Linked DNA regions of Kluyveromyces lactis. The protein of the gene in region 2 interacts with the protein of the main gene of each other region in a pairwise test. Links are inferred from orthologs where the notes say so. Each region holds a gene or a part of one and is shown on either strand. Other genes may lie near its edges. The genes, in order: CHS7, CHS3 and SHC1.

Region 1 (2,638 bases), about 370 kb from region 2:
ACTGAAACAAATAGGTGCTATAACAATCAACTATACGATATATCTACTATGATGAACTTTCCTTGTGTAATATTTTAATGTTGAAAAATTCAAGGTGGTTCAATCCTTCCAGATGAGAATTGCCGAATGGCAGCCATCGAAGCAGAGACGGCAGCAAGAGTGAAAGGCGAACAAGTCCAGACGAGCAGGCGTTACTGGCCCCCCGACTACGCAGGTCCAAGCTAGCCTGGGCGGGAAGCAGTAGGCAGAAGCAAGCATGAATGCGTAATGTGTTGGCAAGAGAGACTACACTGCCGGTAGCCCAGACCAGACCGACCAGGAGGAAGGTCTGTTAGTGGAAAGTGAGTGATTCGGCCTGGTTAGGCCACACCAATGCCACTAGGCAATGTTATTTTCCCACAGACGAATATAGTCCTAATTGGGAAACAATTTTATTTTTCACATTTCAATTGAACACGAAAATCAATGTGTGGGTGGTTAAGAGAGATTTTATGGTGCACGGATGCAAACAGTCACAAGAACCGTCTTCTGTCTATACAAGCTTTCTTTTCAGGATACTAAACCCTTGAATGTCGACAGCTTAGACTGACGCGCATCAATTTCTTTTTTTCCTCTTTAATTGGTTCAATATACCGGACAGCGTTAACACAAGAGAACGTACCTTAGAAGGACGCTGCCACCAAGGGTCCGGTTTTCTTGCCGGTCCCTTCTCAAGGATGCTCAAGTAAACTTTGCTTCGGCAAGCATGTTTTCGGTGCATGTAGATTGACTTTGGTAGCCATCCTGATGTGCCTCGGCCATCCGTCACGTCAGAGCACAAAGATTCAATTATTCCAAATCGGGAAACCTACTGAAAAACCAATTGCCTATAATACAAGAATGCGAAACATTGAACAAGAAGAAGAATAAAAAGAGTAAATAAGAGAGGTTTCACAATGCTTGAAGCACAAAATTCAAGAACCTCTATTTGGACTCCGTTTTTATTGGTTCGAAGCCATATATTAGAACACAAGGGTTTAAACTTCCTTTGTGTGCATTGAGCGAAAGGGCGAGCGAAAGAAGTTATTAGACCGCGTGAAACGTGCTCCTAATTATAGCAAAGAGATGTCTTTTGGAGATTTCAGTAAGATCTGTCAGAGGACCCCGTTGCCGCTTTGTTCAGTTGTGAAGTCTGCAAAACAGATGGTGTTGACCAATGATACTACCATCAAAAATTCCAGGTTGGATATTATAGATTTAGGGATTATACCAGTATGTTACGCCAGATCCATTGATGTAGCAAATACGATGATCTTCGAGATTGGGAACGCATTCATCAATATTGTTGCATTTTTTCTGTTGATCATTATCATATACAACGTGCGGAGGAAGGTGACAGCAATTGGGAGGTCAGAGTATAGTTACTTCTTTCAAACTTGTTTGGTTTTGATTATCTTCACTTTAATTGTCGATTGTGGTGTTTCTGCTCCAGGTTCTTCTGCATATCCATATTTGGTATCCGTACAACTGGGTTTAGCCGGGGCATGTTGCTGGATGCTTTCAGTACTTGGATTATTAGGGTTCAGACTATGGGAAGATGGTACTTTCAAGTCAATGTTGCTCTTATATGGGATGTCCTTTGGTGGATTCATTTTGAACTTCGTTGTAAGCATAGTTACTTTCAAGGAATGGATACAGAGGAAAAGCGATATGTCAACAGACACCATGGGATTATTCACAGTAATGTATGTCATTAATGCGTTGGCTCTACTTATCTACATCATTTGTTTATTGATAGTGTCAGTGAAAGTCTTACAAAATTACTGGGCTACAGGGGCCATTCTCCTCGGTGTATTCTTCTTCGTGGCGGGCCAAGTTCTAATATATGCTTTCTCAAACAATATATGTGAAGGTATGAATCACTATTTGGATGGAATGTTCTTCGGTAGCTTATGCAATTTGTTTGCAATTATGATGCTGTATAAAAACTGGGACATGAGTACCGATGATGATTTAGAATTTAGTGTCAGTATTGACTCCACTGAGTACAGCACTTTCAACTCCGATATCAAACTGTGAATAGAAACTCTTTCTCATAAACATTCATTTCCCCCTACATTTTGCATAATAAACATTAAATAAACGGCTTCAACGACTACAACGACTACAAGCCCCTCATGCCGGTTAATGTTCATTCATATTTAACAACTTTGTAAGTAATTAGATTCGTTTTTGTATTTCATTGATAACTGACCTGTCATTTCCGCTGCTCATCCTCTAGCCGGCTCTTAGCTGCTCGCAGTATATCCCTGTCCGATATGAATGAAAGATCGTTGATGATTTCGTTGGAGTTGAACGGGTATTGGCAGGTTTCGTTAGTGCATATTGTCACCGCATAGTTCTGTTGAATCAAACATCTCTGCAAATTGCTTTGACACTGCGGACATTTCAAATCGTTCTTCGGTTTTGACATATGGATTTATCTTAGTATAGGTGTATTTATGGCGTGGTTGTTTGGACACAATAATGGACGCTATACAACAGCCACCTCATCTCATCAAACTTCACAACTTTCTTTGTCAGTTAGATATTTTTCGTTCCCTTATGAACATCTATCTCTGTTGAAAAAATCCAGAAAATAGAAAAGGTTAGCAAGAGG
Region 2 (3,762 bases):
AATTCGGTCCCTGCAAGTCTCCTCATACCAAATTCGTGACGTTCTTCACCCCATCTGGCAACACCTCCAAATTCGCTGCCGGTAGATAAGATTGTATCGTTCAATCTTCCAGGAGCAATCTGCAAAGGAACATGGCCGACGAGATTGATTGTGCCTGTCGCAGAATCAGTAGTTGTAGTTGTAGTTGTTGGAGCAATGGTAGATGTCATAAGTTTTCTTTTTTGATGTTTATGTATTGTTTGTAGCTCAAACTAGCTCCATACTGAACAGGAAAGGGAACATCATAACCTGGAGACAAACAAGAATACCAACTCTAGTATACATATATATATATTTATGTTTTGAAACATGTCTTATAGTCAATATCTTGCAACCTATCGATATCTCTCGCTTATCGAGTTGCAGCCTTTAACCTAATTCTATCTAGGTAGTCCATTTTTTTTTGCGACGTTATCAAATGCGAGATAGGGTTCCAAATAAACTAAACAGTTGCCAATTCGAAGAACGGAATCAGATTCGGAAAAAAAGTTCATGATAATCATATCATATACAGGATCACCATACCCGAGATCTCAGGTCGGTACTTGCCGTGGTTGCTTGGATCAGGCTTTTTTCCTCATCACCGGCTCATGTGTCGATCTCTTTTACTCTGTAACTTGTTGCAGCACACATCGTAATATATATATATATATATATATATATATTACTGGTCCCCTAAAGATTCGAACCCGGGAACACACGCACCGCTTGTGCTCCGGAATATCCGAGAAAATTCTTGATTAGGAGTAGCCTCACGTGACAAGTCCTTTAACCCAATCGGGTAAAAGAATGGACGCCATTCCCATGAAATATCCGGGTAAATATAATCTGAAGTAAATCCCAGGTTTCGAAAAAGCTAACACAGAAACCATCATCTCCATCATCAGCATTAGAACATTAATATTATTGTCATTGTTTATGTCTAATTCTTGAAATATTTACATGTTGCAGACTGCGCACCAATCGTGAGATTTCCCTTCGAAGATACCCTGTTGTTTTCTGCTTTTATCATACGTGCGGTTAGAGTGTTGCATACATACCATTCGGTGCATTTAGTCCCCATTCGTTTCAATACTAAAGAATCTGATCTGTGATAAAAATAGTAATTGACTTAAAACTCGGAAAAAAAATATTGACAATAAAATAATAGCAACATTGTCTGTTCTATTCATTTCACATTACGGATATTAACTGCTGTTTTCTACCATCATTTGAGGTCATATATCTATTTATTTTCGACTGTGGTTTTTTTTGTTGTCCGATTTCTTCATTTTGAACACAATATCATTTAGACCCTCATGTCTGATGATTACTATGCATTTGACAACGAGTCACTGTTGAAATCTCGGTCTCAGAGACAGATTTCAAGACAAGGCTCTTTGGTCAGACCTGAAAGAAATAGTTTTAAAGATCCAGACCATCCATACCATTATTATGCTTTAAAAGCGAAGGAAACTCATCTTCAGATCAATCCTTCCACAACAGGTGCTTTGCCTGAAGAGTCCTCGTTGGATATTCCAATGCAAGACCTGAATGTACAGTCAAACGATAAACTTCCAAGTTCTTCTTTGAACACAGTGGGTGAATATGGTGAACCAAATGAAAGGTTGGTAATGGAGGGTAGCGATGGGTTTGAAAAGAAAAACAGTATTTATTCAGAAAAGAACGTGTCTCCTCCAATAGAGATCGGACAAAGGTTAGAATCTAAGGCCAAAGATCAAAACAAGCCCAAAGTGGGCTTTTCGTTATGGCAATCGTACTGTTTTTTGATTACAATCTTCATTCCTCCTTCCGTTTTAAAATTGTTTGGCATGAAGACAAAAGCGGTTCAAAGAGCATGGAGAGATAAAATTGGGTTGATTTCAATCATCTTTTATATTGGAGCGTTTGTCGCTTACCTGACTTTCGGGTTCACAAGAACTGTCTGTGTTCCAGGCAAAGTAAGGATGCGCAACAATGAAGCCACCACAGGACAATTAATTATTCATGGACAGGCATACTCTCTAGAATCTTCTTCTCATCCAGCTGCAGCTGGTATCCCTGGGGGATCTAATATTCTATATCCTCCTGTGAATGCTGGTGGCATGGACGCGTCTTTCCTTTTCCAAAACGTTAACGGTAACTGCAAAGGGTTGATTGAACCAAGAGAAAATTCTACTATTCCTTTCGATGACGACGGAAATATGGCATGGTACTTCCCATGCAAACTTGTTAACCAAGATGGTTCAAGTAAACCTAACTTCACAGAGTCAGAATACTACGCTGGCTGGGGTTGTCACACGAGCTCGACTGCCAGGGAACAGTACTATGCCCTTAATGCCCCGGCGGAGGTATACTTCTCCTGGGAGGATATTAAAAATTCTACGAGAAAGTTGATTGTATATAATGGTGACGTTATTGATTTGGGGATCTTAGACTGGCTAGAAACTGACGATCTTACATATCCAGAGACATTTGATGTCTTGAAATCAGCCAATTTAGAAGGTTATGACATTTCATTGGTCTTATCCACTAGCAGAGAAAGAAATGTAGCCCGTTGTCTCGTTGAACTTGCTAAGGTTGGTGTTATTGATTCAGAAAGTATCGGCTGTATTGCTTCTCAAGTGGTATTATATTTATCTTTGGTATTCATTCTATCCGTTGTCGGTTGTAAATTCTTCATCGCGTGCTACTTCCACTACTTTGTAGCAAAAAAACAAGGTGCGTACACTGTTGACAACAAACAACTCGCCAAACATAATAACGACTTAGAAGATTGGTCAGAAGATATCAATTCTCGTGGTCCTTTGAAGCCCGTTGATCCATCATTAAGACCAATGAAGAAAAATCATAAAAAAAACAGCTCCAGTATCAGTTTATTCAACCGTAAATCCCGATTTAGCCAACAATCATTGGGTAAATCTGTACACTTGAATGATCCTGTCATTCAGAGCCTTGAAAGTACTGGTATGTCTACAATGACTACACAATCCGTGCTGAAATCAGCATATATGAATGAAATGAAGAGAAAAAGTGCACATGCTGGATTCGCCTCGCAGTCAAGACCGGTCTCCACTATTAATCCTTTTTCCGACAATCTTGATCCTTTCGGTACTTCAATGACTATGGAATCGTTAGATCCAACGATCATTCACCCCGATGCAGTATTACAGCCGCCCCCAGACTTCATGCCCTATGGATTTCCATTGGTTCACTCACTCTGCTGTGTCACCTGTTATTCAGAAGATGAGGTAGGTTTAAGAACAACATTAGATTCCATTGCAACCACAGATTATCCAAACTCTCATAAATTAATCGTTGTAATCTGCGATGGTATTATTAAAGGTTCTGGTAATGACAGAACCACCCCGGACATAGTATTAGATATGATGGAAGACTTTGTGATTCCCAAGGAGCAAGTTACAGCTTATCCTTACGTTGCAATTGCAGTTGGCGCAAAAAGACATAATATGGCAAAAATATATGCTGGGTTTTATAAATACGATGAATCCACCATACCCGCCGAAAATCAGCAACGTGTTCCAATTATCACCATTGTAAAATGTGGTACAGCTGAAGAACAAGGCTCAGCGAAGCCTGGTAACAGAGGTAAGCGTGATTCACAAATTATATTGATGTCTTTCCTACAAAAAGTGACTTTTGATGAAAGAATGTCGGCTTTAGAGTTCCAACTAATGAAAAATATATGGCAAATTACAGGGTTAATGGCTAATTTTTATGAAA
Region 3 (3,762 bases), on a different chromosome or scaffold from region 2:
ATGTATATGCATTTTCCGAACTATTTTACTGATATCCAGATTTTAAATACAATGATTTATACATTGAGATGGCCGAGGTCTATAAGTTCTAAGAATAAACTGAGAAAAACATGCAGTTGCTTGTAGATAGTTTCCCTATTTCTACTTAGCTCACATAATCACGCAACCTTTCTTGGTCTTTTCCCCATTCTTACGTTTACTCTTGCTCTTTAAGTTCTTCTTAATTGAATCGATGCCGTTCTTTTCATTTTCTCCAAGAGCTGGTTTAGTTTGAGGAATGGAGATCTTGTCCAATTTGGGGTCAGAAAGAGATCTTAAATTAGGTGTCTTTTCTACATCCTGGTCATGTAAGCTCTTCTGACCACTAGCTGACAGGGTATTCTGATGTTCCATCGCAGACTGCTTTTGTAGTGAAGCAGACAATGTGCTTGGGGTTTCTTGTTGTGGATGCTGCAGTTGTTCAACGGGTATCGAATTGTTCCGCTTATTTTTCTTAGATGGATCCGTCAGATTTTGCTCCATATCAACAAAAGTTCCCGGCTTATCATCTTGGTCCAAATTCAGATGGAACGATTTTCTTTTACCCTTTTCTTCATTGTTGTCCAGTAAGAAATTGAAATTAAATGTACTTAAACTCTTCGACTTTCTTGAGGAACGATCTTTAATCTTCAGTTTGTTCAAGGCTCTCGGATCCTTGTTATCAGCAGCTAACTGATACCATTTCATAGCATTTTCAGTGTTTGGTTCACATCCTTTCCCCTTTTCATAGAAATATCCAACTGTGAATTGAGCCTTCGGATAACCTAACTTGGCCGCCCTCAGCGCCCATTCAAATGCTTCATTGTCATCGGCAACAAACGCAGGCTTAGCTCCGATTAGATACCATGCACATAACCCCATCATAGCCTCTGGATCCCCACCGTGTGATGCAATTGTATAATAATTTACACTAAGAAGTGTATCCTGTGGAACTACTTCGTTACCAACTTCGTATATTCTCCCCAAATGAGTCGCAGATGGCGTATGTCCCAATGATGCGGCTTGTATGTAAAGTTCCATAGCATATTTTCTATCGGCAATCAAGATATCAAGGAAACCAGTGTCATAAATCTTCGCCATCTCATACGGAGCCGCACAAGTCAACCTGTTGGCTTTTGCAGCCGCACGAGACAACCATTTCAAACCGTTCTTCTTCGTATTGAGATCGTCTGAAAGACCCATCTTAGCGTAAAATGCGTACACCCCAAGTTTAAACATGGCAGCTGGATGGTTTCTGGATGCAGCAAACTTCAAAAATTCGATGCACTTACGAGAATCCCTGGTAGTACCTATCCCTTCCTCAAAACATACCGATGTTCTATAAGCTGCTTCGACGTGCCCATGTTTTGCAGATGCTTGGAAAAGAGAGAATGCTTCTTTTTGATTCACTTTCCCAAAGACACCACTAGAGTAAGAATCTGCGAGTAAATATTGTGCATCTTTGTAACCTTTAACGCTCAATTTCTTAAGATAATGTAATGCTTCTTTCAAGAATTGCTGTCTCTGCTCTTCCACGGTTAACCCGTCTTCATTTTTTTTGTCATCAAATTCGGTGGGGTTCATAGTTAATGCAGTTTGTAACATGTACTGACTGTACTGGAACAAGACATCCGGGTTCTTCGATTTCTTAACATTTTGTTTGTACATTTCGATGGTTTTCTGACGAGATAGTAACGAGGCAGCCGAATCATTACCTAAATATGTGCTAATTCTCTTGTGAGACTCATCTGCCACAAGTTCATTCGTGGACGTGAATCGTATGTCCCTTTCACCACCGAGGTATAAATGTGAAAGATCTACGGATCTTGATCTTCTGTTCGGATTCTCCGCATTTGAACTAAAAGAAACAACGGACTTTACCCGTCTATCTGAGCCTCTAGAACCGCTAGAAGGTATAGAATTCACAGACATATTCCCATTGCTCGATTCAGATCTCTTATGTTTCCTGATATACTCAGGTGTCTCATTTGGAGGTGTGTTATTATTTGAACGTAAATTCGCGTACTTTTCTCCGGTTACTGTAAAACTAGGCGAGCTCAAACCGGACAAAGCCCTAGGTTCCTCATCATCGGCTTTAAAGTCAGCAGAAGAAACATTACCACTAACTTCAAGTTCAGGGATGTCAACCACCATAGGATTCAGTTCAGCTAAATGCTGTGCGTATGGATGGACATGCGAGGCTGATGCTGCCATTTGTAACGTTCGATTTATCAATTATATCACGAGAATCGGTCAAAAAAATTATCAAAAAAGAGTCGTACTTAAAACCCCAAATAACAGAGTGCCTAGTGACAAGTCTAATATATCGGTAGCACGCTTCTCCGCTCTGTCCCTCCTGTTTCTTGCCAGAATATGTTCTCTCGCAAACCTTTGTTTTACAAAGTTAACGTGTTTTATATAGAAATGCAAAATTACTCTTTCTTGTCTATATGTGGAAATGGTGAAATTTCCAAAAATTTCGCTTCAGATTGTTGACGTTCGGAATTCCGGTGTGATGAGGTAAAGAATATTAAAAGAAGTCAAGCCTATTAATAGCACACTGACATGGAGAAGTGTTTGTAGCTATGATATGCAAGTCCCTTAAATGAAAGGATAGTCGTCCCTTTTCGCTGAGGGAATTATATGCGTTTTATGCGAGCATTTAACAACTAGAGAGGGTTTGCATGAATATACATATAGAATAACGTGCCCTATGGACTATTTATAACACGAATGATATGAACAAATAAATGAGAAGATAGATACGCAGTGGGGTTTTACTAGCAACGTAGGAAATTGAATGCTATATTAAAAATGTGGATTTTTCTTTTTATTCTTTTTTTTTTGGTGTTATGAATAACCAGGTAAAGAGAATCAGATCAATCATCGTCTTCCCTTGGATCTCCGATACCATCCTCGTAGATCGCAAACACACATTCTGCTTCAGGCAAACATGGTGAGTCTACCACTTTACAGTATCTCTGTGGACCTTTCCCCTTCTTGAATCCAAGACGAGTAGTGGAGGAATGAGCCATGATATTACCACCAATCGGTTTTTTTGGATCAGGGTTAAACATCATTCCTCCGTCAACTTGGGCCACAACCTGATTTGTCACTACCGCTGCGACACCAAACTGATCAGCTAGTCTTTGTAATGATCTCATGAACTTGGCAAGGTGCATCTGTCTTGCACTTAACTCACCACGTCCCGAGAAGTCGGTTCTGTACAATGCCATAATAGAATCGACAATAATCAGCGAAAATCTTGACTCACTCATCATCTGTGCAGCTGCGTCCAACAATTTCAATTGATGGTCTGCGTTATAAGCTCTTGCATATGCAACGTTATTTAAAGCATCGTCAGGGTCCAAACCGAACCTCTGCGCAATCGAAACCAACCTAATCGGTCTGAATGTACCCTCCGTATCAATGTACAAACACTTGCCTTCACCGCCTCCCATATCCAAAGGTATCTGGCATGTGACAGCCAATGTATGGCAAAGTTGCGATTTACCAGTTCTAAACTCACCAAACAGTTCAGTGATAGATCCGGTTTCTATCCCTCCGCCAAGTAGAGTATCAAGATTTTTCGATCCAGTAGTTAAACAGATCATTTCGTTTCTACGCAAATGAAAATCAGCCGCAGTGACAAAACCCATAGGCACTAGTCTCGACGCTTCAGCGAGTAACTTATCAGCTTTAGCCTCTGATATACCTTTAATCTCCATTAAATCTTTTCTGGGG

The links.
Region 1: the proteins of CHS3 (region 2) and CHS7 interact in binary tests that used the Saccharomyces cerevisiae proteins (3 or more experiments, as listed by UniProt). The link is inferred for Kluyveromyces lactis from reciprocal best matches to the Saccharomyces cerevisiae genes CHS3 and CHS7.
Region 3: the proteins of CHS3 (region 2) and SHC1 interact in a two-hybrid assay, tested with the Saccharomyces cerevisiae proteins (3 studies listed by BioGRID). The link is inferred for Kluyveromyces lactis from reciprocal best matches to the Saccharomyces cerevisiae genes CHS3 and SKT5.

Annotation. Positions count from the first base shown.
Region 1 is NC_006040.1:672,725-675,362, forward strand, and holds CHS7 (Chs7p), read left to right. Parts: upstream 1-1,104; coding exon 1,105-2,058; downstream 2,059-2,638. Other genes in the region: KLLA0_D07876g (uncharacterized protein), read right to left, coding at 2,237-2,452. UniProt on the Saccharomyces cerevisiae protein: Chaperone required for the export of the chitin synthase CHS3 from the endoplasmic reticulum.
Region 2 is NC_006040.1:302,352-306,113, reverse strand, and holds the start of CHS3 (chitin synthase CHS3), read left to right. Parts: upstream 1-1,337; coding exon 1,338-3,762. Other genes in the region: KLLA0_D03520g (M20 family metallo-hydrolase), read right to left, coding at 1-209. UniProt on the Saccharomyces cerevisiae protein: Polymerizes chitin, a structural polymer of the cell wall and septum, by transferring the sugar moiety of UDP-GlcNAc to the non-reducing end of the growing chitin polymer.
Region 3 is NC_006041.1:1,799,576-1,803,337, reverse strand, and holds SHC1 (Shc1p), read right to left. Parts: upstream 2,233-3,762; coding exon 151-2,232; downstream 1-150. Other genes in the region: recombinase RAD51, read right to left, coding at 2,898-3,762. UniProt on the Saccharomyces cerevisiae protein: Activator of the chitin synthase CHS3 which polymerizes chitin, a structural polymer of the fungal cell wall.